2 linked regions of the Macaca mulatta genome follow. The main gene of each other region encodes a partner of the protein of the gene in region 2 in a complex. Links are inferred from orthologs where the notes say so. Each region holds a gene or a part of one and is shown on either strand. Other genes may lie near its edges.

Region 1 (3,500 bases), on a different chromosome or scaffold from region 2:
CCCGGGACAGGCCAGCAGGATGTCCAGAGCCACAGTCGGCACCTGGGTTCTCAGTACATGCTCCTCCCTGACAGGCAAATGCTCTGCTGGTCCCAAGTCTTGGGGGTGAGGCCCTCACAGGTCTGGGTACACAGCAGGTGAGGAACCCACCATGGCACTGGTGCTGGCCGGGGCAGGCTCGGGGCCCCCATTCACATCCACACTCCTCTCCCGCTTGGTGTCCTCCAGGTCTGTCACTGTGCTGGGGCCCTTCTTCTTCTTGAGCTTTGCCAAGATGGAGGACTCCCGCTCCGGGAACGGGGGCATCTCCTCCAGCACGGTCGCCTTGGAAAGAACACAGGGTGGGCTTGGTCAGAGTCCCTGACCTCCCACCCTCAGTCAAGCCAGCCCGAAGGATGGGGGCCTCCTACCAGGATGTCGGTGCTGGCCACAGTGCTGAGCCGCAGGTACTCCACGGCGCGTTGCTGCAGCTCCACGTCTGCATTCCTCAGCTGGCTGTCGCTGCGCAGCACGTCCTGGATGGTCGGCTTCACCTCAGGAAAGAGGTTCACGAACTTGATGTAGGTGGACAGGAGCAGCGCGCGGGTGGGGACGCTGCATAGGTGGAACTTGGAGTGCAGCAGGTTGAACTGGATCAGCGGGCTAGGGGGGTGGGGAGAGCACAACATGGGAACGCCATCGTCCCCTCGCAGGCTCCAGCATGTCCCCGCAGGGGACGGACAGCAGCAAGACCCCCTTGCCTGCACCAGAGGCCGCTGGTCAGGACCCTCTTCCAGCTCCAGATCCCACTGCAAGGCACCCCTTTCACAAAGTCAGCCATAAACCCCATGTCTCTATTTTCTCCTAGAATCCCTGCTTTTTTTATCAACTGAAGGAAAACAAAAAGACGCCGATTGGGAGCAGACAAGGCTCTGCGAGGCCTCCCAACAAAGCCAGCTGGCACCTCGCCTCTTGGCCCCGACTCGCAAAGGGCCTCTCACCTGGATCTCGGGTCTCCGGCTATCAGGTTTCCAAACTCCCCCAGGATGTAGCCGCCCACTTTGACCAGGTTCTCGTGGCACGCGGGAGCCTGAAGAGCCTGTGAAGCACAAACACAATGAGCCGGGGTGGCAGCCAAGTGTCCAGAGCTAAGGCGAGGCAGGCACATCCTGGCACGGTGCACCCTACACCAGCACCAGCCCCTCAACTTCCTGGAGACCTCAGTCCAGGTGCCCATCCCTGCCTTCCTCAGCACCCTCAGCACCTGTGTCAGCAGCAAGGAACCCGAGGCTGCCACACGCTGACCTGCCCTGGAGGGAGCTGCAGGGTCCAGAACAGGCTCCAGCCGGGGAGGTTCTGCCAGCGTCCTCATGGCACACCCCTTCCCGGTGGCCTAATCCTCTCCGATGGACAGGGCAGGCCCCGCCACGGCAGGCCCCAGCATGCTCTCACACACACAGGGGCCGGCTTTCTCAGATGGCCCCCAGAGAGCCAAAAGTTTGAGAGTTAGGGTGAGAAGAAACTGGGACTCTCGTGGGGCGCCAACAGCGGAGGAACTAGAGCCTCAGGGAAGAGCTGAGGGGCAGGAGGGGTCAGCGACAGCCCTCAGCACCTCCACCCAGCCAGGCTGGAACCACTCACTGCTCACCTTCCGCGACTGCCCTCCACCCCATCCTTCCTGCCGTCCTGCGGGCCATACCTCGAACACAGTCTTGGCTGCGTAGCCCTGCACGTCGTCCCGGTTGATGACGATCTGAATGACTCGGTACCACACCTCTTCACTCACGTAATCACCAGCAATTCGGATCAAGTTCAAGATGGTATCCACGTACCAGGTGTAGTCCACCGCGTACTTCTCTGCCAGGATGGCGACCTTCAGCACCTGCAGGGGACGGGCTGCTGAGGGCCGGCACCTGCAGGCCGTGGCAATCCCAAAACCAAACTGTCATCCAAAGTCAAAGTGAGGGTTTCAGAAGCACCTAAATGTGTCTACAAAAGTTTGGGACATGCAGAAAGCTTGAACTAGATTCTCAAAAAGGGCCATGAGCCCGAAAGTTTAAGATTCCCTGACTTAAACAAAGAAAGCCAGGAAGAGGCGGAGACCAGCGCACAGAAGGCCACGGCCACAGCCAGGCCACCTGCCACCTGGGCCCTTGTCTCCCAAAGCCCCGACACCTGGTGGCAGCACTCCTCTGATCATGCCACCCTGGGCTCCTGGCGGCCACTTCTCTGGTGGTTTCCTCCAGCTCTGGCCAATCTTTCCTGCGAGCCTCACCTGGGGGTTCCGCTTCTTCCCCTCTCTGGCTCACTCTTACGGGTGGCCCCTGGAGGCACCTGCCCAGCCCACACCCACGTGGCAGCCACTCACATGGAGCTCTGCCAGGCTGTCCAACACCAAACTCATCTCCCCAAAGTCACCTCACCTGGAACCAAGCCCCCCTCCAACAGCACCAGCTGCCAACACCAACGCCAGCAGGCATCAAGACCACGCGCCTCCCGAGGGCACCCCCAATACCCTGCCACCCCTCCACACACCGCTGCCCCCTCTCCACACCCTGCTGCTGGCCTCTCAGGCACTGGTGACTGGGCCCCCCCCTCCGAGAGTCGCTGCCTGGAGCCTGGATTCCCAAATCCCAACCTGACTCCGTGACACTTCCAAGGCATCATTCCAAAACGTACTACTGCCTCTGAGCCCTATCCTCAGCCCGGGGCTGTGCACCAGGGGCCCTCAGGCCTCACTGGTAGGGTCCCCACCTCTGCCTCACATGCCCTTCTCCCCACCTTGTGCTAAGTCACCTCCCACCCCTCCACAAACGGCTGCTCTGCCCTCCCAGGGGCCTCTGCACCATCATCCTCTCCAGACCAGGTCACTACCGCCTTCTGCAGTCCACATGGCCCCCCAGGAGTGTAATGCCTCCTGAGGCCCCCAGAACATAGGCACTTCCTCTGGCCATCCCACCCACAGTGCAGCACCCACAGTCCTGCTCTCAATCCGTCCCCCTCTGTGGACGGGAAGGTGCTGAGTAGGCAGGGAGTGGGCCACGTCCAGTTTGGACACTTAGCACCTAACACAGCCAGAGAACATGCTCTGCCATGCTCGGCTGAAAGGACGGGGGAGGGGAGCACCACGCCCGGCTGAAAGGACGGGGTGGGGGGAGCACCATGCCCGGCTGAAAGGATGGGGTGGGGGGAGCACTATGTGGCCTGAGACACAGCACCTGTCTTACTCCTCGCAGCAGGAGCCAGCTGAGGATTACCACTCATCACGTAGAGCCGCTCATCACGCAGAGGGGCGAGAGCAGACACCGGGCTGAAGAATGCCCAGGACCTCAAAATCTGCTGTATTCAGAAGCACACTGCTTCTGTCTCTGTTCAAACCACCCAGAATGACGACCAGGAACGAGGCTCTTGTGACGGCCGTCCCCAGAGCCAGCCCCACCCCACCACAAGTGTTGAGACCAGGCCACACTGCCCCAGCCAGGCCAGAGAGGGTCCACTGGCTGCAGTCAACAAGCACCTGC
Region 2 (3,500 bases):
TTGCACCACTGTGCTCCAGCCTGAGTGACAGAGTGAGACCCTGTCTCAAGAAAAAAAAAAAAAGTAAAAAAATAAAAAGAAAAAAGAATTTAGAAGTTGACAGTGCACATAGTGGTTAAGAGTCCAGACTTGGGAGGCAAACTGTTCCAGTCGCACTCAAACATTTAACCAGCTACCACGAGTACCTAACTCACAATGAGATAATTCACATAAAAAGTACTAAAAGATGAAGGCCCTATGGAGCCATTTAAACCTTGTACAGATAATGATAGTATTCGACCCTCACTCCTTTGGTTATAATTAAGTTGAGCATATAATCTTTTAACTTACTCTGTGACTTTTTTTTTTTTTTTTTTGGAGATGGGGTCTTGCCCTGTCACCCAGGCTGGAGTGTAGTGGCACCATCACGGCTCACTGCAGCCTCAACCTCCCAGTCTCAAGCAGTCCTCCTGCCTCAGCCTCCCAAGTAGCTGGAACTACAGGTGCGTGCCACTATGCCTGGCTACGTTTTGTATTTTTTTGTAGAGACTAGGTCCCATTATGTTGGCCAGGCTGGTCTCGGACTCCTGGGCTTAAGCAATCCTCCTGCCTCAGCCTCCCAAAGCGTTGGGATTCCAGGCCCGCATCACCATGGCCACCGGTGATTTTTACTGGGTTGAGGGAGAGACAGGTCGTTTCTTGGAATCATTGGGCCGAGACCATTCTTTTGCAGGCCCAAGCAGGAACAGAAGGCTGGCGGAAGAAATGATTCATCCAACGTGACTGCATCCCTTTGCCTACTTAATAACTGCCACAAAAATGCCACCCAAAGGGACCTGGCTGATTCTGCGGCTCCTGTGCTGGGCTAACATCCTTGTTCCATTGGCCAGCTTCATCCATTGCCAGCATGGCTTTTTGCCAAGGACTGAAGAACTGTGCTGAGGCTCTTAAATACACCCCTCTCCACAGTCACCTGCTTTGGAAAGCAGAAGATGGTCGTGTTTGCCCAGGGCAGCTGGCACAATTCTAGACCAAGCATGCTCTGTCCACTTGCAGTGAGACACCTCCAGAAGACTCCTCCAGGGGAGACAGAGCCTCGTCTTGTGCCAGCCAGCCTCATCTCTCAGGAGGGAAACCCAAGGAATCCTGGCACCAAGTCTCCAGGTAAGAAAACATTCACCCACGCAAACGAGTGCCAGGGAAGGAGGCGTAACCACGGGGCCGCGTTCCACTCACCATCTGGTGAGAACTGGTCCCTCTCGAACACAGTGATGCAGAGGACTTCCTGCTCCAGGTCTCGGATGAAGAACTGGCAGTTGGAATTCCACTTGGGGTTCAGAGTGTCCTGGATCGTCTTGGTGATGTGGCACTGGGAACCCATGGTCACCTCGCAGTAGGGGTTGCTCTTTCCTGAAGGGAACAAAAGCCTTCGTCAGGTGGAACTCACCCCTCATTTTGATCCCCACCCTTTTTTTTTTTTTTTTTTTTCTGATGGAGTCTTGCTCTGTTGCCCAGGCTGGAGGGCAGTGGTACGATCTCAGCTCACTGCAACCTCCACCTCCTGGGCTCAAGTGATTCTCCTGCCTCAGCCTCCTGAATAGCTGGTATTACAAGTGCCTGCCACCATTCCTGGCTAATTTTTTATATTTTTAGTAGAAACGGGGTTTCACCATGTTGGCCAGGCTGGTCTCAAACTCCTGACCTCAGGTGATCCGCCTGCTTTGGCCTCCCAAAGCACTGGGATTACAGGTGTGTAATCCAGGCCACTGTGCCTGGCCGCTCCCCTCTCTTAATAATTATTATGCTTAATAAGTGGCATTCAATGGAGAATCCAGGTGCAAACTCCCAGAAGTCAGCGTCATCCTTAAACTAAGAACACATAATTAATTGAGTGGGCTTTGAAACTAGGCCCGTCCTGTCTCCTCACTTTGGTCTGATTTTGTGTCCTATCCACTGTGAATGCAGCCGCTCAGATCCCTCGGAAAAGCAGAATGGTAGAAAGGATGAAAAAAAACCCCACAAAACCTCCAGGTTTTAAATCAGTGCTAGTTAAACCAACTCTGGAAGGAGATCGGGGAGTATGGAAATAGCACATTTGATTTACATTCAGGTGGGGGTGCAGGGAACCCGGACCCAGCTTCCAACCCTAAGGCAGGAGGCGGGGGCGCCTCAGAGCCTTACCATGTGACCGACAGGGTTTCAACTCAATGCCTTCAACCACGTTCACCATCAACCTTCCAATGCCTGTTGCCCTTTGGGAACGGACTGTGATGGCAGGAAAAACACACAATGCTTCATTTGAACATGCCACACCGTTCCCATCTCTGTGAGCCTCACAATGCATTTCATGTACCTCTCCCGCCTCAAAAGTAATTCTCCCCTCCTCTCCTTGACCTCTTGCTTCCTTGCTCCTGGAATTTGTCCTCCCTCCCCATCTGCATCCCACCCCAAGCTCACTTCCATCCCATCTCATGCCCCTCCTCTAGGTCCAGAGGACTCTTCTATTCTGAGGATTTTCAGCCCAGCCAAATGGCCCTCCCTCCTGCCGGCGTGCAGGACAGCCCGCGGGGCCATGCATTACCCAGGTACGCCTTCTCGCGCTTCTTTTTCTCAGTCTCTATGTAGAGTTCAGAAGCAGCTTTGATTTTCTGCACCCAGGCAGTCCTTGGACGGAAAAAGACAGAGAGTTGCCAAACAGAAACTCAGGAAAAAGGCTTCAGGTCTGTTCAAACACTGTTGCCAGGACTCCGTTTTCTTTGTTCACTTGATTTTAACCACAAAGGCTCGGGAAAGAGAATCTGATTTTATGTCACATGATGCTAATACTTATTCCTGCCATCGATAAGAAAGGCATGAGGGCCATTTCCATGGATGTCCTCAAGACCTGCGTTCATGTGTCCGGGGAAGAAAATCTGTGATAGATGCTGTCTTGGAGGCAACATGGGGACACAACTCCTCTTCCTTCCTTACCGAAGAGCAGCACATATTTTCCTAATCCAACAAAGCCAGAAGGATCTTGCTTACGAAGTCACGCAAAGAAAGAACAAAAACCACTTCCCAGATTGGGAACCACTTCACAAGAAAGAGCAAAATGCCCTGGGGGAAGGCGTTTGTGGCTGCGGTTTTCGCCTTCATTTTTTCTGAGAACCATATGCACGGAAGCTTTAGCCAATTTTCTTGCTCGGTGCAAACGCTCTTTGGAATGATGCTGGCCTTGTGTCAAGTTCACCCTTCAGAAAATGATCTATTTCACTTGGCTCCAGGGCAGTGTCTTGAAGACAGATTGAAGCAAAATACCCACAGCCCTAGGTTCCAGAATGCCCATTTAAGTGAGCCAAGGTGAGGAGGGGTTTGGGTTTGGGTGGTCCTATTAACCCCCAAATTGCTTTCCTATTGGTTTCTGCCACCTGGGAAGCCAGGGGAAACTTGAGATGCTCCGTTTACCTCAAAGAATGCTAAACATTTCTGAAAAAAAAAAACAAAAAAAAAACTGCCAGGTGCAGTGGCTCATGCCTGTAATC

Evidence for each region. Proteins that work in one complex are often made in the same cells at the same time.
Region 1: the proteins of ITSN1 (region 2) and AP2A2 are in contact, whole or in part, in a crystal structure (PDB 3HS8), measured with the Mus musculus proteins. The link is inferred for Macaca mulatta from reciprocal best matches to the Homo sapiens genes ITSN1 and AP2A2. Residues at the interface, in NP_034717.2 of Mus musculus: Asn841, Trp843, Ala844, Phe846, Ser847, Ser848; in XP_006536218.1 of Mus musculus: Glu308, Gly320, Val321, Glu324, Gln329, Gly331, Leu332, Lys333, Phe346, Gly348, Asn349, Lys350, Gly386, Ala387, Gln388.

The regions. Positions count from the first base shown.
Region 1 is NC_133419.1:888,384-891,883, reverse strand, and holds part of AP2A2 (AP-2 complex subunit alpha-2), read right to left. Parts: intron 1,862-3,500; coding exon 1,679-1,861; intron 1,079-1,678; coding exon 981-1,078; intron 643-980; coding exon 411-642; intron 325-410; coding exon 151-324; intron 1-150. UniProt on the Homo sapiens protein: Component of the adaptor protein complex 2 (AP-2). Adaptor protein complexes function in protein transport via transport vesicles in different membrane traffic pathways.
Region 2 is NC_133408.1:13,503,966-13,507,465, forward strand, and holds part of ITSN1 (intersectin-1), read right to left. Parts: intron 2,644-3,500; coding exon 2,561-2,643; intron 2,245-2,560; coding exon 2,161-2,244; intron 1,390-2,160; coding exon 1,216-1,389; intron 1-1,215. UniProt on the Homo sapiens protein: Adapter protein that provides a link between the endocytic membrane traffic and the actin assembly machinery. Acts as a guanine nucleotide exchange factor (GEF) for CDC42, and thereby stimulates actin nucleation mediated by WASL and the ARP2/3 complex.